4 linked regions of the Stegostoma tigrinum genome follow. The protein of the gene in region 1 interacts with the protein of each later gene in a biochemical or structural test. Links are inferred from orthologs where the notes say so. Each region holds a gene or a part of one and is shown in the gene's direction. Other genes may lie near its edges.

Region 1 (7,345 bases):
GAAGTGAAGGTTGAAGGTGATGCACGGTTTCTTTAGTAGTGTTGGAGTTGCACTGATCCAAGCAAGTGGAGAGTATTTCATCTCACATGTGCTGGTGGATTGTGGACAGGTGCTGGGGTTGGAGGCTGTCTGTTACTCACTATTAACTATCCTCTAACTTTCTCTTATAGTCACAGTATTTACGTGGCCCCTGACCTGCTTTAGTAGCCACACTCTCTATATGACTATTCCAGTTCAGTTCCTGGTTATTGGTAATCAACAGGAGGTTGATTGTGGGGTATTCAGTAATGATAAACCATTGAATGTTAGGGGGCAATGATTAGATTTTCTCTTGATAGCGATGATTATTGACTGATGCTTCTGTGGCATAAATATCAGTTGCCATGTATTAGTCAAAGCCTGGATGTTGCTGCATATGGATCCAGAATGTTTCAGTAACAAAAATAGAGATGGCTGGAAAAGCTCAGCAAGTCTGGCAGCATCTGTGGAGAGAAATCAGAGTTAAATGTTTCGAGCCAAATGACCCATCCTCAGAACTAAGGTGATTTAAAGCATCTGTAGTCCTTTCAATTTTTATTCAAAATATTTCAGTATCTGAAGAATCATAAACCACTACCTCTAATCTTATGACGGAGAGTCATTGATGAGGAAGCTGAAGATGTTTAGGCCTAGGACACTACCTTACAGAACTCCTGCAGTGATATACTTGAGCCGAGGTGATTGACCTCCAACAACCACAACCATTTTCCTTTTGTGCTAGGTATGACTCTACGAGTGAAGTGTATTTTCCCAATTCCCAATGACTTCAGGTTTATGAGCGTTCTTTGGTGTCACACTTGGCCAAATGCTACCTTGACATCTAGGATAGTCATGTGACTTCATCTCTGGGGTTTAGCTGCTTTGAGGGCATTGAAGAATGAACCTCGTTGTTGTGGGTCTGGAACCACATGTAGGCCAGACTGGGTGAAACAGCTGATTACCTTTCCTAAAGGACATTGGTGAACCAGATGGCTTTTTACAACAACCAAGAATGGTTACATGGTTTCCATTAGATTAATTCTTAATTCAATATGTTGTTAAATTCAGATTTCTTCTTCCAAGGTGGGATTTGAACCTATAAGCCTGGGCACGGATTACAACCTGAGTGCATTACTATCATGCCTCTCAGTCATTTTACTCCAAGCTTGAGTCATGGCACTTGGCCTAAAGAAAATGCATGCCATTGCAGTGTATGGCTTAGTACAGTGTATTTTTTTTAAGTAAGCAATGAAAATTCATTAAATATGTTTTCTGAGTGTGGTGTCCATTGGCTGTTCATTTCCTGAGATAACAAGGATGCTGTCGTCCTATACCAGGCCTGTGACACATTGCTAAGTAGGGTGCAGAATTTGGCTGGAGACTTACCCTTGAGTCTTCCTTGACATCCTGTGAGGATGTGTCCTGCATCCACTTGGTTTCCTCACAGTGGGAAACACTGCAGGCAGTCCACAAATTGACATTGCCATGCATTGCTCAGCTTGACAACAGAGCTGATTCTCCAATGTGCTGCGATGACGTTTTTTGTAAGTTTTAACTTTCCTCCTGTGCAGTCATAGACTAATGCAATAAAGAAGGAGGCCATTTGACCTATCACTTCTATGCCAGTCCTTATGAGGAGCAATCCAGTTCATTCCACTTCCAAACTTTTCCCCTGAAACCCTGTAATCACTTCTCTTCAAAAAATGTATGCAATTTCTTTTTGCGAACCGCTATTGGATTTGTCTCCACCATCCTGTCACATTTTTGGAGTGCCGTAAGCTGCAGATCCCAATACCTGTGCTCACATCAGCACTCCTCAAGCAGCCACACTTTTTCAGGGCATTTCATTAACATTGCTAGTCCCTCTCCCGACTCACCCAGAGCTCTGGAATAACTGCTCGCCATTTGCTTCTTTTTCCCGTCAGCCCACCTTGTACTGTGTTCAGTTAGACAATAAGCACTTTCTCTTGGAGACTGGATTCTGTGGTCTGTCTAGCTACGACCCCGTACGTATATTGTTGGAAGGACAAGTCTCATAAAATTGTTTTTGAGTTGAGTCAATTCACAGAAACTCCAGTCCATAAGCATGTTCTGTGCGTACAATTCTTTTACCGTTGACGTTTGTCCATTTCTAGAATTTCTATTGATATTATATTACTGTTGTTCAGGTGTGTGCTTTCAAAATGATGGTATTTAACAGGGTTTAAGTTTTTGTTCCCCATATGAGAAGCTTGGTATTTTTTTTCAAAGCAGACATTCTAGCATGTGAAGAGGCATAGGTTGTTATTAGTAATACAGAATGCAGAATGAAGAGTGATACAGTGGAATGGCTGTGAATATTCCAGTTCAGTGCAATGTTGAAAAAGCTGAGCTGGTCTGTAGCAAAAATTCCTATGCATCTGGCTGTCTGGAACTTTATTTAGCGGAAAAAAAGTCTTGGACTTGAAAAGCATGATACAGATTTTTTTTTCTACAAAGAGAGCATTGTTCTATCCAGATGCATTTTTTTATAGAAATGTTCTTGCTATTAAAAAAAAAGGAGTTTGACCAAGCAGTTATTCTGTACAAAGAAACTACCTATGCCCCTAGTGCAAGCTGTTTAGTTAAGTTAGCTATTTTGTTTGTTTTTTGACTAAGTGCAAATTGAAATGCTCAAAGGGCCATTTTTACTTTTAATTGCAGTTCAGAATAACTTTCTCACTTCTGTGCAGTGGTAGAAAATTTTTGTAAAAGGCATCTGTTAAAATGCCAACAGAAAATGGGGCAGTTGTTACAGCTTTTGATTATAAGCAGTACATTTTTCCATTGTGCAGCCACTTTTATCCCTAAGGGCATTAAGATGGCCATCATACAGTTATTAAACACTTGCTGTTTGATTTGTAGAAAAATGTTGCACATTTTATTTCATCAGTCCTGCTGAATGAGCCACTATTCCTGCATAGCAACTTGCAAACTGTTGAGTGGTGAGTTAATAAAGTATTATGTTCAGGTTTTACCTGGAATGTGTGAAGTGGCTAGTCATGTTGTGTCATGGCTCCACACATTAAAATGTCAAACAACTTTGTCTTACAAGGCTTGGAACTTAAAATCTTTTGTGACTTCACTCAAAGGAAATTTTCTCTCTCTTGTAAAGTGTATGCAGTGTCATAGTCCTAGATATTGGTGCAAAACTCCCACATCGAGGAACAATTTCTGATGTGTTAAGATTGTACCTTTTTTACATGGTTACAAGACGAAGGAGAAAGTATTTGAAAAATGCTTTCTTGTAAAAATTAATTATATTCAGTGCTTTTGAATCTGTACATCTGATCGGAAAGCCACAGGAAGAAAAGAATGTAACTCCTTTGGCACGGTCATGAGTTTCAAATGTCAGAATGTGGCATTTCTGTGTATGAAGAGAGAGGTTTTTCCTACTTAGCCACACTGAACAGTCTTAACAAGCGCTAGCAGCCCGGTACCAGCAGGATTTCAGTCCAGTGGGAGTCTAATAATAGTTCTGTTTTTGTTTCTTTTTAAACAAGGATTTGCTTCTTTTAAATCGTTGCCTCTTTTAGATGGTTGGATTTCAATGTGTTCAGCTAAAGCCGAACTGAGAGCGTGAGTTCAGAACTACTATCTGCAAAAAAAAAGCCAATCTTTATCACATTGAGGAACTGATGAAGGCAAATTGTATTCAATTGTAAATGCAAAACTGCGGAGTGCTCTTGCAGTTATTAGCAGTAGCTTCCTGTCTATTTCCCATATCCTGGAGGTTTAACATTGTGGGTAATACTCAGAAAACCTTTTGATTCTGAATTATGCTGGATGTTGCTCTTTAAAATTTCCTGTAATGCAATACTATGAGGTAAAAATACGGTGTTGGTTCAGTGTAGGAGAAACATTTGAAGCTCCAGTGCCTAAAGCAGTGCCACATATTTAGCTTGCTTGCTGGGGACGAGATGTAATATATGAAACCGAAATGCAAGAAGATGTTGATTTTGGGTTGGATTCAGTCACTCATGGAAGTAAAGGAGATTTAATTGAAGCAAGGTTGGCCAGAATTCAAACAGTGTGCAGCAGCTGAGCTTCTTGTAAAGGTTGCTGAGTTTTCAGTGCTGTGGAAGAGAGTCTGCCTTCATTTCTCACCGTTAAGAGACATTCATGGCTATTCAGAATTGCGGGAGGTATTCCTGCAATTATGATTTTTGCTGCTGGACATTTCTAACTTCCCAGGCTTAATAGCCATAGTGCAGTAATGACTGGAATGCTGCTTGTCACTTCAGCTATTTCTGCTTATCTACAGCTCCTGATGGTGACCGTATCGCAAGTGGCAGTGCTTGCTATGATTGCTTTAAGTGTTCTCTGCAGAATGTGAGTTTTTAACTAGCTCAGATTCATTCCAACCTAGGACCACATTTGTTGTATTTCAAAAGGGAAGAATGGCCCGTCGTTTGCGACTGCATTTTGCAACCAGGAGGAGCAACACTGACCCACTGTCTGAAACTTCGGGAGAAGGCTTGGAGAGTAACATTTGTATGACAGTTGAGACTGTACCAGTACATGTGAGAAAGAATGTTCACCAAGTGACTGCACTTGAACCTGTGGCAGCGCAGACAGTAGCACAGGATGAACGTATCCTACAGCGCAGTTCTTCATTGTTTATACCACAGGTCAGCAACAGTGATCATCACCGCAAAAAGAGCTCTACCTTGCAAATATCACTGCAGTCCAAACAATCCAGAGGACAGTGTGAATCTAGTACTCGTTGCAATGGCAGAGAGGGTGGTTTGTGCAATGCCGGTATTTCTTTTGACCAAGAGCTTTTAGAACGTGCGATGGAGTCCACCAAAGCATCAGTGAAGTTGAGAAAACCGAAGGTTCCATTGAGGCGTTGTTCATCATTGGTGATATTTCCTCAGAGTCCGTGTAGTACTCCGCCAGCTACACCAACAAGCCCAGATCCATTTACAAGTGCAAGTAGCAATCCCACATTAAACAGATTTCTTCCTTGCCCTCATGAACCAAAGCAAGATGAAGATCAGGCTGTGTCTAAATCCAAAGAAGCAAGCACATGTTTTGTTGCAACAGCAGTTAATGGGCTGCGTTTGTCTAACCCAGTTTGTCCTTCTTCGGAAGTTAGAGACATTAAGTCGCTTCATTGTAACGGACAGCAACCTGGCAAAAATCGAGCAATAGATTACGGCGAGGAAGAAGCAGAGTATTGGGGAAAAGTGAAGAAACCGCACAGACCTTCAAATCACGTTCTGCATTTCAACTACCAAAGAGCTCATGTATTTGGAACAGAGCCCAAGGAAGGACAAATTCACCCTGAATCATTTGTGAAGGAGTTTAAGCAGAGCTCTTTAAATACTGGACATGCGCATCATCCTATTAAGTTAATAAGGAGCACCTCTGTATGTTTACCTTCGTTCAAACATTCAGACTGCCAACTTAATATTAATGGTGTGGTAGAAAGGGAAATTATAAATGAACAAAACAAGCGTCCGATCTTTCAAAGGAGCCATTCACTTGAAGTTCCCTGTCAGCTGGTTTCCAGTTATCATTCAAAACCTAAACATTGTTGTTCAAGGGTTGGGATCCCTCATTTACAAATCCACGTAGCTCCTAGATCAGAGCAAAAGACGTTCAGTTCTGAGGAGGAAATGACTGGAGCTGTTTGGGGACGAAAGTGCAAGGTAAGCTAATTCTCCCCTGCCTCAAAGGCTTCAAATTAAAAATCAGCTTATCTATTTTACTCCCACTTTTAGTACAAATTGTGGGCAGTGTCTGTAGAATTTAGTGATAGTTTTGTTAAACAGGGTGATTGCTGTGCTAGAAAATGTAGGAAGTCCTAAAATTAAATTTTCTAGCATTTTTAATTGTTTCAAAATTTGCCAGTGATGATTGCAGACAGCTGTGCCCTAGTGTTGATTTACACTTGAGTTTCTAATTACAGACAATTTTAATGATTTACTGATCTATTTAGTGATACTGCTCAGATCTGTAGCTATGGACTGAGTCTAAAGAATATGTGAAACGTGTTGTATATTCTATAGATATTCTCAATATGAAATTTGTTTTCTGGCCAAAGAGCACCATTTATAGGCGGTTGTTAATGCTGAGGAAATTTTCTTGTCTTTTTTAACTTCTGTGTTCAATGTTTTTACTGGTTTCCTGTAGTGAAAGTGATTCAGTTTAGGTAGACATCTCTACAAAAGTAAGTGTTCTAGGCAAGCACTTGCATGCAAAACAATTTTGCTCACTTGATCTGTACAATCTGTCAGAGGTTGTTATTGACATAATTCATAAAATTTGAAATCAAGTATCACATGTTTTACTGCTAATAAATTACATTTTTGGATGAGAAGTTATTTATCCAGTAAAACACGTGAATTTAAAATGTTCAGATTTTGCCACTTGCAGATTAATTTACTTGAAAGCAGATTGGCTAAATCTTTGTAACATTAATAATATACTTCAGCTAAGAACATCACCTATCAATCTTTTTGATTTGGGCCATAATTGCACTTGAAACTGCAAAAAATGCTTAATGTCACATTGTAAATTTCCCTTGGTTTTTAAGTTAGAAAGGGGTATCCTTTCCTAGTTAGCTTTGGGCATCCAAATTTGTTTCCTGTGGTTTAAAATAGCTGTAAGATTAACAAATGATTTCCCTTTGTGTGCCTCAGGTGTCTGCTCCTAACCTCGTGAAGCTCAATTTTATTTAAAATGTGTTACTTACGTTACTCAAAATTGTTAGAATTGAAGTAGAAGTAAAAGTCAGTTACACATGGTTGTGTTTTGTGTAAAAGCGAGTCTGTATTTCCAGATGGTAACTGTATTAGCTAGTTAAATGTGTTTAGATTTATTTTAATTCTCCACTTTAATTTCCACATTGATGCAATGAGTGCGCATGTGTTGACTGCAGTTGGAAAGGAATTATTCGGATTGTTGAAATACACAGACAGCTAAGTTATCCATTTGTTTTATAAACTGAATCAAAGCTTGGTTGCCTAAACATAGCAGAGTGTAAACCTGATTTAAATATATTGCGCCAAGAATATTTCATCAGACTCCAGATAGTCTGGCCTGGAATACTGTTATGGAAGGTCTGAGTTCAAATATAACAACCTGATATTAGAGTAGTGGTGGTCACTGCAGCCATCTGTACACAGCAGACATGAAATTGGATCAGACCATGGTTGAGTTCTGTTGTGCTTGCAGACGTGAAAGGTCCACATGTTCCTCTTTCACTTGGGCACTGGACTTCAGCAACAAGGTGTCAGATATCCCACTATCTATAATTAACAGCTTGTTAAAGGGAACTTTTCTAAATCCATGCAGAAAG
Region 2 (6,997 bases), on another chromosome or scaffold:
CAGCAGGGAAGAAGCTGTTCCTGAATCTGTTGGTAAGTGTTTTCAAGCTTTTGTATCTTCTGCCTGATAGAAGAGAGTGGGAGAGTATACCCAGAGTGGGAGGGATCTTTGATGATGTTGGCTGTCTTCAGAGTCAATAGAAGGAAGGCTGATTTTCGTGATGGACTGAATCAAATCCATAACTCTCTGTAATTTCTGTGGTTATGGACAGAGGATGTTTTCCAGGGTGCATCTATAAAAATTGGTAAGAGTTATTGTGGACATGCTGAATTTCCTTAGCCTCCTGAGGGAGTAGTGGCAGTGCTGTGATTTCCTGGCTGCAACATCAATGTGGGTAGACCAGGACAAATTGTTGGTGATGGTCACTCCCAGGAACTTGATGCCTTCAACCATCTCTACCTCAATTCCACAGACACAGACGGGGGCGGGTCCTCTTCTTCACTTCCTGAAGACGGCCAGCTCCTGCATTTTGCTGATGTTGATGGGAGATTGCTGTCTTTATACCATACGGCTAAACTCTCATTCTCTTTCCTGTACTCTGCCTCGTCGCTGTTTGAGAGCCGAGCCACTACGGTGGTGTTATCAGCAAATCTGTAAATGGAGTTAGAGCTGAATTTAGCCACACTGTCATGAGTGTATAAGTAGTAAAGGGCTGTGTACACAGCTTTGTAGGGCACCCGTATTGAGGATTGTGGTAGAGGAGATGTTCTCACTTATCCATACTGACTGCAGTCTATCGGTCAGGAAGCTGAGGACCCAGTTGCAGAGTGGGGAGCCAAGACCTAGGACTTGAGTTTGGAGATGAGCATCACTGGACTTATGGAGCTGAAGGCGTACCTAAAGTCAGTAAACAGGAGTCTGACATAGGTGTCCTTGTTATCCAGGTGTTCCAGGGATGAGTGTAAGGTTGGGGACATAGCGTCTCTTGTGGACCTGTCGTGCCACTCAGTGACTTTTAGTGGGTCGAGTCAATCTGGAAGGCGGGAACTGGTGTGAGCCATACCTAACCTCTTTGTAGCACTTCATAATGATGAAATGTCAGAACCTCGGGGCAGTAGGCATTGAGGTACATTGCCTGACCCTTCTTTGGCACTGGGATGATATGGTGTTTGTGAAGCAGGTGAAGACTTCAGATTGTAGTGAGGAGAGGTTAAATATATCAGCAAATAATCCCACCAGCTGGTCTGTGCCAAAACCATTCAGGCCAGTCGCTTTGCATGGGTTCACCCTCAAGAAGGCCAATCTGACATCTGCAGCAGTAACTGCGCGTACAGGTGAATCCAAGGCTTTCAACATTATTTCACCGACTTTCCATTCAAAACCAGCATACAGTTCACTGAGCGCACTGGAGATGAGTGCATTGTTGTCAGTGATCCTATTTGAATTTGCTTTGTAGCCCAGTATAACGTGTGATCAGTCTGGGAATGATCACAGTGTCATCATAGATTCCCTACAGTGTGAAAACAGGCCCTTCAGCCCAACATGTCCACACTGACTATCAGAGCATCTGATATAATCAAATATCCCCTATAACTGAACACGTCTAAACATCCTTGGAACACTGTGCTCAATTTAGCATGACGAATCCACCTAGCCTGCACATGTTTGGACTGTGGGAGGAAACTGGAGCACCCGGAGGAAACCCATGCAGACACGGGGAGAATGAGTAAACTCCACACAGACAGTCGCCCAAGGGTGGAATCAAACCCGCATCCCTGGCACTGCGAGGCAGCAGTGCTAAGCACTGAGACCCCGTGCCCCAGTCTAATGTAGTATTGTCTCTTTGCGTCCCTGATGGCTTTGTGATGAAGATTGTAGATTTCCTGTATAGCTCAGAGTCACTCAACTTGAACAGCTCAGACCTGGGCTTCAGGAGGGAGTGGATCTCCTAGTTCATCCATGGTTTCCTGTCAGGGAACACTCGGATTAACTTCTTTGGCATGTAGCTGAAACCTGAAAATTGTCCAGATCTTGTATTAGAACATGGACTGCATCACCATTTCCACCTTCTTCTTTACTGTTCAGTGACAGTAAACTTGTCCCCTCCACACTCCCCTCCAGCCCCACCATTCCCGGCACTTTCCCCTGCAACTGCAGGAAATGCTACACTTGTCCCCACACCTCCTCCCTCACCCCTATCCCAGGCCCCAAGAAGACCTTCCATATCAAGCAGATGTTAACCTGCACATCTGCCAATGTGGTATACTGTATCCACTGTACCCAGTGTGGCTTCCTCTACATCAGGGAAACCAAGCGGAGGCTTGGGGACCACTTTGCAGAACACCTCCACTCGGTTCGCAATAAACAACTGCACCTCGCAGTCGTGAACCATTTTAACTCACCCTCCCATTCCTTAAACGACTTGTCCATCATAGGCCTTCTGCAGTGCCACAATGACGCCACCCGAAGGTTGCAGGAACAGCAACTCATATTCCGCTTGGGGACCCTGCAGCCATATGGTATCAATGTGGACTTCACCAGCTTCAGGGTCTCCCCTTCCCTCACCGCATCCCAAAACCAGCCCAGTTCGTCCCCTCCCCCCACTGCACCACACAACCAGCCCAGCTCTTCCCCTCCACCCACTGCATCCCAAAACCAGTCCAACCTGTCTCCGCCTCCCTAACCTGTTCTTCCTCTCACCCATCCCTTCCTCCCACCTCAAGCCGCACCTCCATCTCCTACCTACTAACCTCATCCCACCTCCTTGACCTGTCCGTCTTCCCTGGACTGACCTATCCCCTCCCTACCTCCCCACCTATACTCTCCTCTCCACCTATCTTCTTTTCTCTCCATCTTCGGTCCGCCTCCCCCTCTCTCCCTATTTATTTCAGAACCCTCACCCCATCCCCCTCTCTGATGAAGGATCTAGGCCCGAAATGTCAGCTTTTGTGCTCCTGTGATGCTGCTTGGTCTGCTGTGTTCATCCAGCTTCACATTTTATTATCTTGGATTCTCCAGCATCTGCAGTTCCCATTACCCCTGAATCTTCCCAATTCGGGAGGAATTGTGGATAATAAAATGTGAGGCTGGATGAACACAGCAGGAGTACAAAAGCTGACATTTCGCGCCTAGACTCTTCATCAGAGAGGGGGATGGGGTGAGGGTTCTGGAATAAATAGGGAGAGAGGGGGAGGCGGACCGAAGATGGAGAGAGAAGAAGATAGGTGGAGAGGAGAGCATAGGTGGGGACGTAGGGAGGGGATAGGTCAGTCCAGGGAAGACAGACAGGTCAAGGAGGTGGGATGAGGTTAGTAGGTAGATGGGGGTGCGGCTTGGGGTGAGAGGAAGAACAGGTTAGGGAGGCGGAGACAGGTTGGACTGGTTTTGGGATGCAGTGGGTGGAGGGGAAGAGCTGGGCTGGTTGTGTGGTGCAGTGGGGGGAGGGGACAAACTGGGCTAGTTTTGGGATGCAGTAGGGGAAGGGGAGATTTTGAAGCTGGTGAAGTCCACATTGATACCATTGGGCTGCAGGGTTCCCAAGCGGAATATGAGTTGCTGTTCCTGCAACCTTCGGGTGGCATCATTGTGGCAGTGCAGGAGGCCCATGATGGACATGTCATCTAGAGAATGGGAGGGGGAGTGGAAATGGTTTGCGACTGGGAGGTGCAGTTGTTTGTTGCGAACTGAGCGGAGTTGGGACTACTGCAAAGTAGTCCCCAAGCCTCCGCTTTGTTTCCCCAATGTAGAGGAAGCCACACTGGGTACAGTGGATGCAGTATACCACATTGGCAGAGAATTGTGTCTATTTCACTCTCCCGCCGCTAGGTGACTCTGTAGTACTTACTGAGGAGCCGTTCCACCAAACTCCCCCAGAGGACTGGAGGAGGGGTTGTGGCGCCCCTAGCGGCCGGGAGGAGGAGTTGCGGAGCCCGAGCGGCCAGGAAGCGGAATTGCGGCGCCCCTAGCGGCCGGGAGGAGGACTTGCGGCGCTCCTAGCGGCCGGGAGGAGGAGTTGCGGAGCCCGAGCGGCCAGGAAGCGGAATTGCGGCGCCCCTAGCGGCCGGGAGGAGGGGTTGCGGCGTCAGTGATGGCGGACGAAGAGCTGGAAGATTCCTCCTTGGTTCCCAATGTGGCAGCGGGAGGAGGTCGATCCGGGGACAAGATGTTCACCCTGAAGAAGTGGAACGCGGTGGCGATGTGGAGCTGGGATGTGGAGTGTGATACCTGCGCCATCTGCAGGGTCCAGGTGATGGGTAAGCGGCAAGGCCCAGGCCCCGGGGACCAGGACAGGGGCCTCGGGTACTGCCCGAGGCGGTCTGACTGTCTGGGAATGGCGGGGGTGGGAGGCACTGGTTTGCCTGGCTGTGCCCACCGGCCTCTCAGTCCCAGGAGGACAGTGTGATGGGGACAGGGACCGAGCCCCCCCCCCACGCCCCACCCCCCCACGCCCCACGCCCCCCCCCCACGCCCCACGCCCCCCCCCACGCCCCACGCCCCCCCCCCCCACGCCCCACGCCCCCCCCCCCCACGCCCCACGCCCCCCCCACGCCCCACGCCCCCCCCGAGCCCCCCCCACCCCGAGCCCCCCCCACCCCGAGCCCCCCCCCCCGACCCCCCCCCCCCCGACCCCCCCCCCACGCCCCCCCGAGCCCCCCCCCGAGCCCCCCCCCCACGCCCCCCCGAGCCCACGCCCCCCCGAGCCCCCCCCCACGCCCCCCCGAGCCCCCCCCCACGCCCCCCCGAGGCCCCCCCGAGGCCCCCCCGAGCCCGCCCCTCGCCCGCCCCTCGCCCCCCCTCGCCCGCCCCTCGCCCCCCTTCGCCCGCCCCTCGCCCCACTTCACCCGCCCCTCGCCCCACTTCACCGGCCCCTCGCCGTGCCCCCCCTCAGCCCCCCCTCGCCCGCCCCTCGCCCCCCTTCGCCCGCCCCTCGCCCCACTTCACCCGCCCCTCGCCCCACTTCACCGGCCCCTCGCCGTGCCCCCCCTCAACCCCCCCTCGCCCCCCCTCAACCCCCCCTCGCCCTCCTACACCCCCCCTAACCCCCCCCACCCCCCCTACACCCACCCTCACCCCCCCCTACACCCACCCCTACACCCACCCTCACCCCCCCTACACCCACCCTCACCCCCCCTACACCCACCCTCACCCCCCCCACCCCCAATACAACCCCCTCGCCGTGCTCCCTTCGCACCCCCCCTTCACCCCCCCTCGCCGTGCCCCCCTTCACCCCCCCTCGCCGTGCCCCCCTTCACCCCCCCTCGCCGTGCCCCCTTCACCCACCCCTCGCCGTGCCCCCTTCACCCACCCCTCGCCGTGCCCCCTTCACCCACCCCTCGCCGTGCCCCCTTCACCCACCCCTCGCCGTGCCCCCTTCACCCACCCCACGCCGTGCCCCCTTCACCCACCCCACGCCGTGCCCCCCTTCACCCACCCCACGCCATGCCCCCCTTCACCCACCCCACGCCGTGCCCCCCTTCACCCACCCCACGCCGTGCCCCCCTTCACCCACCCCTCGCCGTGCCCCCCCTTCACCCACCCCTCGCCGTGCCCCCCCTTCACCCCCCCCTCGCCGTGCCCCCCCTTCACCCCCCCCTCGCCGTGCCCCCTTCACCTCCCCTCGCCGTGCCCCCTTCCACCCGCCCCCTTCACCCGCCCCCGTCGCCGTGCCCCCCTTCACCCGCCCCCCTCGCCGTGCCCCCCTTCACCCGCCCCCCCCTTCACCCGCCCCCCCCTTCGCCCGCCCCCCCCTTCGCCCGCCCCCCCCCTTCGCCCGCCCCCCCCCTTCGCCCGCCCCCCCCCTTCGCCCGCCCCCCCCCTTCGCCCGCCCCCCCCTTCGCCCGCCCCCCCCCCTCGCCCGCCCCCCTCCCTCGCCCGCCCCCCTTCACCCGCCCCCCTTCACCCCCCCCCTTCACCCGCCCCCCCCTCGCCGTGCCCCCCTTCACCCGCCCCCCCTTCACCCGCCCCCCTTCACCCGCCCCCCTCGCCGTGCCCCCCTTCACCCGGCACCCTCGCCGTGCCCCCCTCCACCCACCCTCCTCGCCATACTCTTCCCCTTTCGCCCCCCCGGCAGCCATTCCCCCCCCCCCTCCACGCCCCCCCCGGCCAGCCATTCCTCCCCCCCTCCACGCCCCCCCGGCCAGCCATTCCTCCCCGCCCCCCCGGCCAGCCATTCCCCGCCCCCCCGGCCAGCCATTCTCCCTCCCCGCCCCCCCGGCCAGCCATTCTCCCCCCCCCCCCGGCCAGCCATTCTCCCCGCCCCCCCCCCCCGGCCAGCCATTCTCCCCGCCCCCCCCGGCCAGCCATTCCCCCCCGGCCAGCCATTCCCCCCCCTGCCCCCCCCCGGCCAGCCATTCCCCCTGCCCCGCCCCCCCCCCCCCCCCCCCCCCGGCCAGCCATTCCCCCCCCACCCCCCGGCCAGCCACCCCCCCCCCCTCCCCGCCCCCCCGGCCAGCCATCTCCCCCCCCCCCCCTCCCCGCCCCCCCGGCCAGCCATCCCCCCCCCCCTCCCCGCCCCCCCGGCCAGCCATTCCCCCCCCCCCTCCCCGCCCCCCCGGCCAGCCATTCCCCCCCCCCCCCCCGCCCCCCCGGCCAGCCATTCCCCCCGCCCCCCCGGCCAGCCATTCCCCCCCCCCCCTCCCCGCCCCCCCGGCCAGCCATTCCCCCCGCCCCCCCGGCCAGCCATTCCCCCCGCCCCCCCGGCCAGCCATTCCCCCCGGCCAGCCATTCCCCCCCCCTCCCCGCCCCCCCGGCCAGCCATTCCCCCCCCCCGGCCAGCCATTCCCCCCCCCCTCCCCGCCCCCCCCGGCCAGCCATTCCCCCCCCCCGGCCAGCCACCCCCCCCCCCCCCTCCCGGCCCCCCCGGCCCCCCCCCCTCCCCGCCCCTCCCCTCCCCGCCCCCCCCCTCCCCTCCCCTCCCCTCCCCCCCCCTCCCCTCCCCTCCCCTCCCGTCCCCGCCCCCCCCCCTCCCCTCCCCTCCCCTCCCCTCCCCTCCCCTCCCCTCCCCGCCCCCCCGGCCAGCCATTCCCCCCCCTCCCCGCGCCCGCCCTGGCCAGCCATT
Region 3 (7,143 bases), on another chromosome or scaffold:
AAACTTGGCTAAGGCACAAGCAGAAACAAGGGTATTTAAAAGCATTAAGATGGTGGTACAAAAGAAGAAAAGATATGATGTGCATTTATAAAACACTGGATCAACTCTAGTATTATATCTGCCTGGAGTACTGGACACCAGACTTCAGGAAAGACATAACGATTTATGGAGGGTTCAGAAAAGATTCACAAGAATGGTTCCGGAGACGAAGGTTTTCAGTTACATAGATGGATTAATAGAATTTTAGGTTGTATATCTGAGAGAAAAGAAGATTGAAAGGACATTTGATAGAGGCGCTCAAAATCAATGGAGGTCCAGACACATTAGAGAGAAACTACTCGCACTCGAGGAGGGCAACTGATATAAGGCGAATGGCACAAGAATGAAAGGTGACCTTTCAGACAACAAGTGATTAGAATTTGGAATATACTTTCTGAAAGTGCAGAGGAGGCTTGTCAGTCACAGCTTTCAAAGGAAAATCGGACAAGCATCAAAAATGAAACCAGGAAAAGTGGGACTAGCTCATCTCCTGACTCCCTAAAGCATGTCCATCACCTACAAAGCAGAAGTTAGGAGTGGGATGGAATATTCCCCACATGCCTGGATGGGTGCAGCCCCAACAATACTCAAGAAGCTTGACACCATCCAAGACAAAGCAGTCCAATGGATTGGACCATAGCCACAAACAACCACTCTCTCCACCACTGATGCTCAGTAACAGCAGTGTGTACTGTCTACAAGATGTACTGCAGAAATTTGCCAAAGATCCTTAGACAGCACTTTCCAAACCCAAAGCCATTTCCAAGTTGAACGGCAAGGGTAGCAGATGCATGGGAAGACCATCACCTGAAGCCACTGACCATCCTGACTTGAAAATGTATCTCCATTCCCTCAGTGTGGCGAGGGCAAAACCCTGCATTTCCCTCCTCAGGGCATTGTGAGGCTCTGAACAATACATGGACAGCAGCAGTTCAAGAAGGCAGCTCACTAACACATTCTCAAGGGTAAATTGGAGGGGCCATTAAATGCTGGCCCAGCCGGCAAAACCCACATCCCAGGAGTGAATTTTTAAAAAAGTGCTATGTTGCTCTTGCGGAGAGCTGTCAAGAGCTCACTGAGCTGAATGGCCTGTGCGGTATCTATTCTATGATTCCAAGCAGTGTACCAAGATACAGCAGATGCTGTTCAATGTGCAGAAGTATGAAACGATGGACTTTGAGAGGACCAATTTAGAAAGAGACTCTTCTATAATGGAATGGTTTCAAAAGGACCAGCAAGTTGAAAGATGAAGGGATGAGGAACATGATGATGGGAGAGCTTAACGAATTTGGGACTCCGTGGAAGACTGAGGTATAGAGGTGAATCAATAGACGTGCTCAAAATGATGACAAGATTCCTTCAGATGAGTGTTTCAATAAGGGGGAGTCATAAAATCATTGGAAAAACGACTGAGTGGCAGGTGAGGCTACACATTTCTACTATTCACTACAACCTCAATATATTGATTCCAAGAACAAGAAAGTAAACTAATACGACTGTCCCGGCTTTCAAAAAAGTTATATACAATCATTCGGCCGTGTCAGTGAATTCAGGTTTTACTAAAGGTCATAAAGGTGATGGTAAAAATGAATGGTTTCCCGGCGTTATATACAATCATTGCGGCACAGAAGACAACCATTCAGCCCATCGAGTCCCTGCTAGCTCTCTCAGTCTCACCTCTCCGTTCTATCCGTGTAGCCCTACAACTTTACTTCCTTCAAGTTGCCCCATTCAATTTCCTCCGAAATCGATCATTTTCTCGGCCTCCGCCACCCTCCTGGGCGAGGGTTCCAGGTCATTACCACTCATTGTGTAAAGAGAAGAAAGTTCTACCCCACAGCCATTGCACATCCATTGAGAAAGATTACTTGTCTAACAGTGTATTTTCAGGGGAGCCTCCAGTCTGGGCTTTTAAAGAGGCAATGGTGGCGGCGAATCTTAAAAGTACACGGACACCTGCAACAAAAACGGCGAATGTGTCTGTCTGTCTGGGACAGATCAGGTGCCAAATGAACGGGCTGAGCCGACCCCGCGTTTCGGTTCATTTTTAGGGGAAGTGGGCTCTTGGAAAGGGAGGGTTGGCGTCTGCCTTTGTGTGTGTGTTGTTTTCTAATCCACTTCCAGTAGCAGACACACACACGGTATTAAGTCCAAGTGCAAATACAGACAACAATCGCTGAGAAAAGCCACAGGCTTCCTTCAGCTGGTTGGCGGACAAACCGTGACCAGCCAGGCACAAAGAACAGGGCAAAGCGCTGCACTCCACCCCCCCCCCCCCCCCCCGCTCCTACAGCCTCCCCGCCTGGGGAAAATCACCGACAAAGAGAGGGGAGGATAAGATTTTAAACGCATCCAGCAGCAATTCCAGATCGCTCGCACCACACGTTCTTTGGGAGCTGTGAGGGGATCTGACGCCCGATAAATCGCGTTTATATAATGGGATTTGCATGCAGCTTGAGGATAATGAGACTCTTGGATGTCTGCGGGGAGTTGTTGGCGGCGGTGGGGGGGGTGGTGGTTGCTGCAGGCTGGAAACTTCGCAACGTGCTTTGCTATTTGCATTCTCTTTTCGCCACTTGCATTAATTAATCTTTATACTTGCCGCGATAACATTCGCAAATTCCATCTCCAAAACATCGTATTTGATGGGACGAGGCTGAAAGAAGTGGGCGATTTCTGACGGGGCCGGGGATGGAGAGGGTTATATCACTTCGGGTCAAAGTGAGGTTAGGCTTTACAAGAGCAGATTGCCTTGTAAAGTCTGTCTGAATACACAGACACCCCCTCCCCCAACCGCTGTCTCTCTTTTTGTTTGGATTCCTTGCGAGGAATGAGGGATGTGTGTCTACCAAGGGCAAGGGGAAAAAAATGTAATCAAGGTTACTGCATCCTGTTTCCCTTTTGCTTTGGTTCCCCTCTCCTCCCCTCCCCCAGACTTGCAAATCCGTATTGAATTCTCAGCAACGTTAGCCCCTCTATTGACCAGTTTAAGCTGTTAGAAAATCTCTCTCCCTCTCGACAACTTTAGAAAGTTAAGTGCTTTCTCCCTTTCATTAAAAACAAATGGCTCATTTCACCAAGGCACAAAGGTGGCAATCGTTGCGACGCCTGTTTGCTTCTTTGAGCATCGGCAAACACTTCAGGCTTTGCCAATTCTTAGGAAAATGACCGCATTTTCAAGATTATATTGAGCCCGATCAATTTTTATGTGAAACACAAAACAGAAAACGCTGGGAAGATTAAGTGGAGCGTCGTCAGAACATGGTTGTCGAATGACCAGAGCAAAATCCCTGCACAGAGGCTGTCGGATCTGCTGAGTATTTCCAGCATTTTGTGTTATTAAACTATTTCAGGTATCCCACATCCACAGTATCTCCCTTTGCACTGATTTATTTCCAGCTTGTTTTATCACTGCTTCCTTTCCTTGATTGATTAGTCAAAAGGGGGTATAAAATGCCGCGCAGTATTTGTAACCCACATTTTTTGAGCATGAAATATATTTGACAGACTTTGGGTAAACTTTTCAAGGTCTTTTTTTCTCTTCCTCCTCCCACTTCCTGCTCTCACTTCAAACAAACAGAGCTTTGCCTAACCCACGTGTGCGTTTCCGGCTGTGCCAGCCCTCTGTTCCGCTACTATCCAATGGAAATGTGTGTTAACCCACACTGTGTTTCTATTGGACACTTTCTACGTCGATAATAGTTTGCCGGCCACTTACAGCCCACAACTCGCCCTGCCATGACGTCATCGCCAGTAGCCCCGCCTACAAATGGACTCACTATTGGTTCTCCAGGGTGCATCCAATAGCAGAGAAATGATATGCCAATTGGCTGGTCTCCACCTGTCAATCGCGGAAGGCGGACCGGCGAGGGAGAAGCGGGCCTCCTGTCTGCCTCGGTGACGTCATGGAGGTGCACCCGCGTGCCAGAAGTCCCGCCCCAGACTGCGCTTCCACCAGCTCCATTGGCCGAGAGGTTCCGGGGGGGAATGGGGATTTGGGAATTCCGAGAGGCGATTGGCGGGGCAGGTGGTCCATCAGGCGGCCCGTTGGGGGGGCGGGTCCGGGGCTGGGTGATTGACAGTGGCGGAGGTTTGGTTGCGGCGTGTCGGGCTGCGCTACTTGATTGTGTGAGTGTATCGAGTGTGAAGCAGATACAAAGTAGCACTTGGTGATTCCGGAGCTGGCAGAGCGCAGAGAGAGACAGAACCACGGGGACCGGCCGGGCTAACACTCCCCTGATTATGGTTTCTCACAACTGAGAGACAGATACCCAGCTCCCTGCCCTCACCCAGGTACCAGCCAGCAACACTCAAGTCAGCGAAGGCTCCTCTCCCAACCCCGGGGGGCGCCTGGCTGCCTTTATTTAACCCCGCTTCCAATTTTTTTTAATTTATTTCCCCTTCCCTTTTCAAATATTAAATGTACAACTTGATGGGTCTGAACAGCACAGCCGCAACGAATCAGCCCAATGTCTCCTGCACATGCAACTGCAAACGCTCTTTGTTCCACAGTATGGAGATCAGTAAGTAGTCAAAACAGTCTTTTTATTAAAAATGCTGTTCCCTTCTATTTTCGTTGGTCATTTAAAACTAAAGCCAGTAAATGCTGGCTTTTGTACTAAGGAAGAGATTGTCTCACTGTTTCCCCCCCCCCCCCTTTAAGAGATGGAGTTGATGAGGGGGGGGGGGGGTGGTAGTGTGAGTTGTCTGCCTGGCTGTGTTGTTAATTAAGACGGCGTCTCTCGAGCCCTCAGACTGCCTGGAGTTTTCGTTCCTGTCAGAGTTTGTGCTGTGCGTGCGTGTTCATTTTTTTTCCCTTCAAAAAAATTAAGTTGTCTTTTCTGCCTCTAGTTGTTTGACTTTTATTCGTGCGTCTCTCTTGTTTCCCTCAGTTTTTTTTTCTTTTTTGTTTTCGATGGGGACGACTTTGGGAATCTTACTCTGTGCTTCAACAGCACCACCCCCCCCCCCCCCCGTCGTCGCCACCCCCGTCTCTTGGCCAAGTTCGGGGGAGGAAAAGCAGCCAAGACCCTGACTTTTTCAGAAAAAGGCGTCTCCTTTCCTACTCCCCACAAAAAAGAACGCCCTGTCTCCTCTAGAAAGCTTTGAGCCTCTTTCGGTTTCTTTTCTTTTTCTAAAAATTATTGGAGTTTTGTTTCGTGTAGAATCGTTTTAGTCAGTTAGCCCTGGACTGACTCATTGTCAAGATTGTCGCTCAGTTTCGTGAGTCTCGCCCAAACCCTTTTTTTCGCTTCCCCGCCCGTTTCATTTCTTTCGCTCTCCGTCTTTTGAGCTGTGTGAATGTTTGGTCTTTCAGTGTTTTCTGCACTTGATTAGAGTCAGACCTACTGTATCATCAGATAACCCTTCATTTAGTGTTTTTCAAACGTTCTGTCAACAAGCTGTACAATTTCTTGGAATTCAATGAAGTGCCAAGGGGTCTAACTTAAACAGAACAACTCAGCCCATCTTCCTCTGTGTCTTTTAGGCACAATTTAACGTCTGGTGAAAAGAGCCCTTCGTCTAAAATCTAACCCCACTGAACGACGACTGGGGCTGCTGAGCCCTGTAAAACATACTTTGTGGTATTTTAATAATAACTTTGGATAAAATTGAGTTGTCCTCTGGTGGATTTTATCTTGGTTAGAATGGGTAGTGTTGCCCTCCATAGAAACTGTTTCAATGTTGGGATAATTAAGGTCACTCAACTTGAGACTTTCGGTGTGTCAATCCTTTTTTGGATGCTTTTTAATGTTTTTTCCTCAGCATCAACATATTAGTTACTGAACAATAGTTGCCTAAGATCAGAGGTTCACTTCAGACTTCTGTCGACTCTTAACTTTTAAAACAATCGTTGTTGTGCTGATTTTGGGTTGGAGTGTAGCTTAGTGACTCTGTACATTCTTCACCTCCGTCTGATGTTATGGCGTTCTGTTGCTTGGGAATGATGCACCTAACCCTGCATATGTGGGTCCTAAATTTTTTTAAGGTCTCAGTCAGCCTGCTTATTACAGCTAATACTGTACATACCCTGTTGCTCTGTGTGGATTAGCTGCAGTGGTTTTAAACAATTGCAGTTCTCGTTTTGTGTGATGTAAGGGGCACAGTACAAGGTTGCTGGGTGTTGGGGCGCAGCAGAGACTAGCTTGAGGACTTCGCTCCAAGTAGCGTTGCTGCAGGGTTAGCCTTACCCAGTTCTGTTAAACAGTCACTATCACAATGAATGGATCCTGACTCATGCACATCATTTTTTTCCATCTGCCAAGATTTTTCAAATTGGAATCCAACTGTCAGACTTCAGATGTTCCTCTGAGAATTGCGGATTAAGATATTGTGCATTTTTCTCCCTATTTTAAAATGTGCCTTTCAGATACTGTTTTTGACATGGACCAACATAAGCCATTAAAATTATTCTTGATCGTTTTTAAACATGTTACCTAGTTTGCCATGTGGCCCTATATGTGTGGATTGTATTCCTTTTCCATTTGTCATCCATTAGTTATGAACTATGACCATACATCTTTACGCACAAGGATTAGAAAAATGCAAAGTGCAGATTGTAGTGACTGAACTGATGTGTGCCCTTCAGCCAGCCCCATTTGCTGATTTTATGAAGGGGTGTTAATACTTGGGTGCAGGACTACACTTGCCTGCTGTGTCAGTCTAACAGGTTTTGTCTGTTTTATTAAATTTGGCACCTGTGTTGCAAACAGGGTACGCGTGACTCCTTCAACTCTCTTCCAGGATCTGTCCGTTGGAATCTGTAATTTAACTTTAGCGTGGAGGTATTACATTTGCTTCCACATCTTTCTGTGGCTAAAGACACCTTCAGTTGCTGATATTCTAATCAATGTTCTGACTAACAATGACAGTGTGAATCCTGAAAACCATTTCAGATTCTGGTGATTTTTCTCGCCCCCCCCCCCCCCCCCCCCCCCACCAAGTCTGGTCAATTTATGATCAATTGTCCAGGTGCATACGTGTAACAAATCACATCCCTCTTATTAAACCATTCCGTTAGGATTGAGCATTCTTCTCAGATTTCGGGTATCTTGCCTTTTGAGACAGGATATTGCTTTTTTTTCGTATTACGTTTATTCTTTT
Region 4 (7,972 bases), on another chromosome or scaffold:
ACCAGACAAATTGGTCAGTGCATTGAGTATAGGAGTTGGGAGGTCTTGTGGTTGTACAGGACATTGGTTAGGCCACTTTTGGAATGCTACATTTGATTCTGGTTTCCCTGCTACAGGAAGGTTGTTGTGAAACTTCAAAGAGTTCAGAAAATATTTACAAGGATGTTGCGAGAATTGAAGTGTTTGAATGATAGGGAGAGGCTGAATAGGCTGAGGCTATTTTCCCTGGAGTGTTGGAGACTAAGGGATGACCTTATAGCGGTTTATAAAATCATGAACGGTCTGGATAGGGTGAGTAGCCAAGGTCTTTTCCCTGGGGTATGGGAGTCCAGAACTAGGCTTAAGGTGAGAGGGGAAAGTTTTAAAAGGAATCTAAGGGGCAACTTTTTCATGCAGAGCGTGGTGCATGTATGGAATGAGTTGCCAGATGAAGTGGTGGAGGCTGGCACAGTTACAACATTTAAAAGGCATCTGGATGGCACATCAATAGGAAGGGTTTAGAGGGATATGTGCCAAATGCTAGCAAATGGGACTGGATTATTGTAAGATCTCTGGTTCACAAGGACAACTTGGACCAAGGGGTCAGTTTCCATGCTGTATCTCTCTATGACTCTATACCTGGTACCAAGCAATGGCCAGATCAGATAATCTAATTTAAAATTGGATGCCTAGCTACCCTGTGCTTCGGGGGAGGGGTTGGGGGTAAAAGAGATTATTCAGCCTCTGACCTGTTCTTGTAGCCATAGTGTTTACATGGCTGGTTCAAATGTGTTTTCTGGCTGATGGTAAATCTAGGATGTTGACAGTAGGGATTCAGTACTCAATGCTATTCAATGTTAGAGGGAGAAGGTTTGATACTATTTTTGTTGGAGAATGATATGATGATTACCGGCTACTTAAGTGGGCAAGTGTCATTTGTGTCACACATCAGCCTAAGACTGAATGTTGTTGATCTCTTGCCTTGTGCTTCGGTATCTGAGGAATTGTGAATGGTATGAAAAATGCGATCATTACCAAACATACCCACTTCTGACCTTACATTGAAGGTAGGGGTCATTGAAACAAGTGAAGCTGGTTTGGCCTGGAACTTTATTATTCTGAGGAACTCTAACAGTGATGTCCTGGAATGGAGATCATTGCCTCCAGCAACCCTAGCCAATTTTTCTTTGTATTAGGTATGACTCCAATGAGTGGATAAATTTCCCCTATTCCAATTGTTCACCTCATTTCTTTTTTGATAGTTAAATCAAGGTTGCAATGAGATCTGGAACTGAGTGGCTAGCGCAGAATCTAAATTGTGTAAGTGAGTGGATTGTTCCTGATCAAGTGCTGCTGGATGTCACAGGATTGCTGACTGAGAGTAGACTGATATAGCAGAAAGTGGATGGATCGGATTTAGTTCTTTGAGAAGGTGACCAAACAGGTAGATGAGAGTAAACCGGTTGATGTGGTGTATATGGATTTCAGCAAGGCGTTCGATAAGGTTCCCCACAATAGGCTATTGTACAAAATGCGGAGGAATGGAATTGTAGGAGATATAGCAGTTTGGATGGGAAATTGGCTTTCTGAAAGAAGACAGAGGGTGGTGGTTGATGGGAAATGTTCATCCTGGAGACCAGTTACTAGTGGTGTACCGCAAGGGTCAGTGTTGGGTCCACTGCTGTTCGTCATTTTTATAAATGACCTGGATGAGGACATAGAAGGATGGGTTAGTAAATTTGCAGACGACACCAGGGTCGGTGGAGTTGTGGATAGTGACGAAGGATGCTGTAGGTTGCAGAGAGACATAGATAAGCTGCAGAGCTGGGCTGAGAGGTGGCAAATGGAGTTTAATGCAGACAAGTGTGAGGTGATGCACTTTGGTAGGAGTAACCGGAAGGCAAAGTACTGGGCTAATGGTAAGATTCTTAGTAGTGTAGATGAGCAGAGAGATCTCGGTGTCCATGTACACAGATCCTTGAAAGTTGCCACCCAGGTTGACAGGGCTGTTAAGAAGGCATACAGTGTTTTAGCTTTTATTAATAGAGGGATCGAGTTCCGGAACCAAGAGGTTATGGTGAAGCTGTACAAAACTCTGGTGCGGCCGCACTTGGAGTATTGTGTACAGTTCTGGTCACCACATTATAAGAAGGATGTGGAAGCTTTGGAAAGGGTGCAGAGGAGATTTACTAGGATGTTGCCTGGTATGGAGGGAAGGTCTTATGAGGAAAGGCTGATGGACTTGAGGCTGTTTTCATTAGAGAGAAGAAGGTTGAGAGGTGACTTAATTGAAACATATAAAATATTCAGAGGGTTAGATAGGGTGGATAGGGAGAGCCTTTTTCCTAGGCGAGCACAAGGGGGCATAGCTTTAAATTGAGGGGTGAAAGATATAGGACAGATGTCAGAGGTAGTTTCTTTACTCAGAGAGTAGTAAGGGAATGGAACGCTTTGCCTGCAACGGTAGTAGATTCGCCAACTTTAGGTACATTTAAGTCGTCATTGGATAAGCATATGGACGTACATGGAATAGTGTAGGTTAGATGGGCTTGAGATCGGTATGACAGGTCGGCACAACTTCGAGAGCCGTAGGGCCTGTACTGTGCTGTAATGTTCTATGCTTTTTGTGACACAACCTACCTAGACAATTTTCCACATTGTTTGGTAGGTGTCAGAGCTGTGCTAGAACAGTTTGGCAAGAGACGCAAATAGTTCTAGAGCACAAATATTCTAGCTACAGGGCCTTTGTTGGAAATATTATCATTGTATGCTGTATATTACTCATTTATCACTGAGTGAAAAAAAATTGAAGTTTACTATGTGCGATGCTGGATAACTCAGGGAAAGGGTGGGATGCATCATCCACTCAGCACTCTGCCTGGGGATAGTTGTAAACATTCTAGCCTTGTTTTTTTCACACTGACATACTGGGGTCCACTGATATTGAGAACGAGGACATTTTTACAGCGTCCTCCTCCAGTTATTTAATTGAGCACCAACATCATGTCTGAATGTGGCATGGCTGCAGAGCTTCAATCTGGCCCATTGGTTGTGGCGTGACTTGGCTCTGCCTATATTGTTCTGTACTTGCTGTTTGCATGTTAGTCCTGTGTAGTGGCTTCACCAACTTGGCACCCTGTTTTGACTGTTGGTGCTTCTGTTTTATTTTTCTATGATCCTTTTTAAAGTAGAGTTGGTCTTGCGGCTTGACGGCAATGGTAGAGTGAGGGATATATGGGCCATGCGGTTACAGATTGTTGAATGAAAGTCTGCTACAGCTGATGGCTCAGAATGTCTCTGAGATGACCAACTTTTGAGCTACTAAAGCCGCCCTGAATTAATTCCAGTTTTCAAGTGTCAGTAGCATACAATACAATGGAGGATATCCCAGTGTGAAGACAGGAATTCGGCCCCAGAAGGACTGGACTCTGATCGCTCATCTGTGACAAGTCTGTGGCACAGTTCTCCCAGATAATGAGAGGCATTCACTTGGGAGGCTGTTTCTTATTGTTTCCAGTGTGAAGGCTAATGCTGGGTGATCTGTTGTTATTCAGCTTTTGGTGGTAATTTTGAATGATGGTTGCTTGCTAGATTTTTTCAGAGGGTATTTGAGAGCCATCCAAAATCACATGTTGGCCAGGCTAAGCAAGGACAGCAGATTGCCTTCCCAGACTATCTTTGTTGATCAGAGCTTTGAATGCAGATTGTTGAAGAGGCCACTTTGAGTACTGTTCACAGTTCTGGTCACCCTGCTATAGGAAGGATATTAATAGGTAGGAGAGAGTGCAGAATAGATTTTCAAGGATGTTACAGGGACTGGAAGGTTTGAGTTATAGGGAGTCTGGATAGGTTGGGATGCTTTTCACTGGAGTATAGGAGGTTGTGGTGTGACCTTATCGAGGATTATAAAATCGTGAGGGTTATAGATAAGGTGAATAGCAAGGTCTTTTCCCTAGATGGCTTATTTGAAAGGGGAAATATGTCAGTGACCTGAGGGGCAAATATTTCACACACACAATGGTTCATATGAGGAATGACCTGCAGAGGGAATGGTAGATGCAGGTGCAGCTACAATATTTAAAAGACATTTGGACAGGTACATGAATAGGAAAGGGTTGGCGCAAATGCAGGCAAATGGGACTAGTTTCATTTGGGGAACTTGGTTAGCATAGACAAGATACACTGAAGGGTCTAGTACTGTGCTGTATGACTCTAAGGAGCATTAGTGAATCAGATGAGGCTTTAGGACAATCTGGTAGTTTCACCATTATTATTGTGAATTGACCATTTTATTTCAGGTTTATTAATTAATAGAATCCAAGTTCCCCCGGATCCAGGAGTGGCATGATCCTTGAGTCATTGTAAATACCTGTGGTTTATTGGTTTAGTGACATCACTACTGTTCAATTATCCCCCATTTTAATATTATTTACTTGTAAAATTTTAGTTATGGATTTTTTAAAAAGTTCCTTTATTAGATGTACCTCTTTAACAAAAGTGAAGAGTTTTTTTACATCTCTTGGGACTTCACTTTCATCCCTATTGAAAAATATCCTTTTCCTTTGGTGTAGCCGAATGGTTTTGATTGACATTTGAACAGCCCATTCAGCTTTCGAGATAATCGGGAACGCTGTTGTCCTATGGTAGTAGCGGATAGAAGTTGGAACTTGGACTCCGGATGTTGATTGGGCCTTTGGGCACAGAGCCTACTCTCCTCTAAGGCCGAATTTTATTGGCCAACCCGCCCATACGCACACCAGGGCCTCCAAATTTGACTCCCCTTTCAAGCTGCGGGGAAGCTAGGCCAATGAGAAGCGGTGACTCAAAGCAGCAGCGGAAGCAAGGGGCAGGCCGGCTGCGAGACGGCTCCTGATTGGCGATTTGGTAACAGCAGGCGCATTGTGAGCAGCTGATGACCAATGAGGAGCGCGGAGAGAAAAGTGGGTTTGGCTGCGCCTGGCGCCACCAAAGTGGGTGCAGGGAGACGGCGGCCATTTTGTTTCGTCAGACGCCGCGGCAAGAGAGAGGAATTTTCTTTATAGAATCCAAAGTGTCCTTTTTTTTACCTTTTGCCAATCGGTTGGAGCAGTGCACTTATTATATTTTTTCCTTCACGTGGCCTCCCACATTACTAAGCCGCTTTTTTGGTTGGTGGTGGGGCATTTTTAAAAGAAATTGAGAAAATAGTTTTAATTTAAATAAACGGGAATGAGTTCGCTGGACGTGCGGAAACTAAAAGTGAACGAGCTCAAGGAGGAGCTGCACAGACGCGGCCTTGACACAAAGGGCCTCAAGGCGGATCTGCAGGAGCGGCTGCAGGCAGCTCTGGACCGTGCCGCTGACGAAGAACAAGAAGCAGCCAAAGCCGCCGCCACTGCCGAACGGCAGCGACAGGAGGAGGCGGAGAGAGCGCGGGCAGGTGAGGCCTAGGCGTGCATGCGCGGAGCTTCCGGCAGGTAAGCCGGCTGTGCGCAGGCGCGGATCCCGCCCACGGACTCACCTTGAAATGGGGAGGGAGGGGACGACTGGAGTGAGATATTCTCGTTGCATTCGGTCGCTGATCTCATCTATTTCCTCCCCCTTTTAAATTACTCGACTGTTGGCTCTCAACCCATAATGCAATAGAATCTGCAGTTAAAATAAAACAAAGAACTGCGGGTGCTGAAGGTCTGAAGCAGAAGTTGCTGGAGAGATTCAGCGTCTGTGGAGAGAAAGCAGTTCTGAGTTTCGACTCCAGTGAATCTGCAGTTATTTCTGGATGGAAGTCTTTGTGTTTTCAAGAGGAATCATCTAGTTGTTTGATTTCCTGGAAAGACTTATGCCCCATTTTAGCTTTTAGTAGACTGCATTTGATTCTGAGCTTATTTACAGAGTCTTAAGAAGCACGGCAGAACGGCTGTTTCCCCCCTTCTAGTAGCCTGACATGTGCTGGAAACAGATTCCATAGTTGGCCTTGAAAGAGAATTTGATATGAACCATAACTAGAATCTCTGTAGCGAGTTTTGAGAACATTTGTAGCTCAGGTTGAGGTTCTGGATAATAAAATGTGAGGCTGGATGAACACAGCAGGCCAAGCAGCATCTCAGGAGCACAAAAGCTGACGTTTCGGGCCTAGACCCTTCATCAGAGAGGGGGATGGGGAGAGGGAACTGGAATAAATAGGGAGAGAGGGGGAGGCGGACCGAAGATGGAGAGTAAAGAAGATAGGTGGAGAGAGTATAGGTGGGGAGGTAGGGAGGGGATAGGTCAGTCCAGGGAAGACGGACAGGTCAAGGAGGTGGGATGAGGTTAGTAGGTAGCTGGGGGTGCGGCTTGGGGTGGGAGGAAGGGATGGGTGAGAGGAAGAACCGGTTAGGGAGGCAGAGACAGGTTGGACTGGTTTTGGGATGCAGTGGGTGGAGGGTAAGAGCTGGGCTGGTTGTGTGGTGCAGTGGGGGGCGGGGACGAACTGGGCTGGTTTAGGGATGCAGTAGGGGAAGGGGAGATTTTGAAACTGGTGAAGTCCACATTGATACTATATGGCTGCAGGGTTCCCAGGCGGAATATGAGTTGCTGTTCCTGCAACCTTCGGGTGGCATCATTGTGGCAGTGCAGGAGGCCCATGATGGACATGTCATCAAGAGAATGGGAGGGGGAGTGGAAATGGTTTGCGACTGGGAGGTGCAGTTGTTTGTTGCGAACTGAGCGGAGGTGTTCTGCAAAGCGGTCCCCAAGCCTCTGCTTGGTTTCCCCAATGTAGAGGAAGCCGCACCGGTTCAATTCGTCCCCTCCCCCCACTGCACCACACAACCAGCCCAGCTCTTCCCCCCCACCCACTGCATCCCAAAACCAGTCCAACCTGTCTCTGCCTCCCTAACCGGTTCTTCCTCTCACCCATCCCTTCCTCCCACCCCAAGCCGCACCCCCAGCTACCTACTAACCTCATCCCACCTCTTTGACCTGTCCGTCTTCCCTGGACTGACCTATCCCCTCCCTACCTCCCCACCTATCTTCTTTACTCTCCATCTTCGGTCCGCCTCCCCCTCTCTCCCTATTTATTCCAGTTCCCTCTCCCCATCCCCCTCTCTGATGAAGGGTCTAGGCCCGAAACGTCAGCTTTTGTGCTCCTGAGATGCTGCTTGGCCTGCTGTGTTCATCCAGCCTCACATTTTATTATCTTGGAATTCTCCAGCATCTGCAGTTCCCATTATCTCTGAGGTTCTGGATGTGAGTTTGCTCGCTGTGCTGGAAGGTTAGTTTTCAGACGTTTCGTTACTTTTTTTTATTTGAAAAAATATACTTTATTCATAAGATGTACAAAAAATAAAACATTTATACACCTACCCAGTCATGCAAGTCGCTCCGGGTTACCCAGGGGGTACGTACACCAACTAAAGGAAAAAAAACAAACAAAGAAAAAAAAAGCAAAGAAAATACCCCGGCAGCCGTCACCCCGCACAGTCCCAGTTGGCTCCCTGACCAGTTGTGGAAGGCACCAGCTGGGTCCAGTTACCAGATAGGGCCCTTTTTTCTATTCTGGATGAGGGGTTTCATACTGTGGTCTTTCCCCACCGCGCCTTGGCGGCGGCTGCCCCAAGCTTTAGCACGTCCCTCAGCACGTAGTCCTGGACCTTGGAGTGCGCCAGTCTGCAACATTCGCTCGGGGTCAGTTCTTTCAGCTGGCAGACCAGCAAGTTGCGGGCAGACCAAAGAGTGTCTTTCACCGCATTGATGGTCCTCCAGGCGCAGTTGATGTTGGTCTCGGTGTGCGTCCTGGGAAACAGCCCGTAGAGTACAGAGTCCCACGTCACGGACCTGCTCGGGACGAACCTCGACAAATACCAATGCATCCCCCTCCAGACCTCCTGCGCATAGGCACTCTCCAGAAGGAGGTGATCAACAGTCTCGTTCCCCCCCGCAGCCACCTCAAGGGCAGCGTGCGGTGGCGCAGAGATTCCGGACATGCATAAAGGATTTCACTGGCAGAGCCCCTCTCACCGCCAGCCAAGCAATG

What was found.
Region 2: the proteins of E3 ubiquitin-protein ligase NEDD4-like (region 1) and rnf7 form a complex in vitro, tested with the Homo sapiens proteins (2 studies listed by BioGRID, with this or other methods). The link is inferred for Stegostoma tigrinum from reciprocal best matches to the Homo sapiens genes NEDD4 and RNF7.
Region 3: the proteins of E3 ubiquitin-protein ligase NEDD4-like (region 1) and protein TMEPAI-like form a complex in vitro, tested with the Homo sapiens proteins (2 studies listed by BioGRID, with this or other methods). The link is inferred for Stegostoma tigrinum from reciprocal best matches to the Homo sapiens genes NEDD4 and PMEPA1.
Region 4: the proteins of E3 ubiquitin-protein ligase NEDD4-like (region 1) and heterogeneous nuclear ribonucleoprotein U-like protein 1 form a complex in vitro, tested with the Homo sapiens proteins (2 studies listed by BioGRID, with this or other methods). The link is inferred for Stegostoma tigrinum from reciprocal best matches to the Homo sapiens genes NEDD4 and HNRNPUL1.

The regions. Positions count from the first base shown.
Region 1 is NC_081386.1:15,733,313-15,740,657, reverse strand, and holds the start of E3 ubiquitin-protein ligase NEDD4-like, read left to right. Parts: upstream 1-4,343; 5' UTR 4,344-4,436; coding exon 4,437-5,693; intron 5,694-7,345. UniProt on the Homo sapiens protein: E3 ubiquitin-protein ligase which accepts ubiquitin from an E2 ubiquitin-conjugating enzyme in the form of a thioester and then directly transfers the ubiquitin to targeted substrates. Specifically ubiquitinates 'Lys-63' in target proteins.
Region 2 is NC_081367.1:74,096,275-74,103,271, reverse strand, and holds the start of rnf7 (RING-box protein 2), read left to right. Parts: upstream 1-3,982; 5' UTR 3,983-4,027; coding exon 4,028-4,193; intron 4,194-6,997. UniProt on the Homo sapiens protein: Catalytic component of multiple cullin-5-RING E3 ubiquitin-protein ligase complexes (ECS complexes), which mediate the ubiquitination and subsequent proteasomal degradation of target proteins.
Region 3 is NC_081372.1:56,265,354-56,272,496, reverse strand, and holds the start of protein TMEPAI-like, read left to right. Parts: upstream 1-4,136; 5' UTR 4,137-4,459; coding exon 4,460-4,562; intron 4,563-7,143. UniProt on the Homo sapiens protein: Functions as a negative regulator of TGF-beta signaling and thereby probably plays a role in cell proliferation, differentiation, apoptosis, motility, extracellular matrix production and immunosuppression.
Region 4 is NC_081392.1:7,469,708-7,477,679, reverse strand, and holds the start of heterogeneous nuclear ribonucleoprotein U-like protein 1, read left to right. Parts: upstream 1-4,964; 5' UTR 4,965-5,187; coding exon 5,188-5,398; intron 5,399-7,972.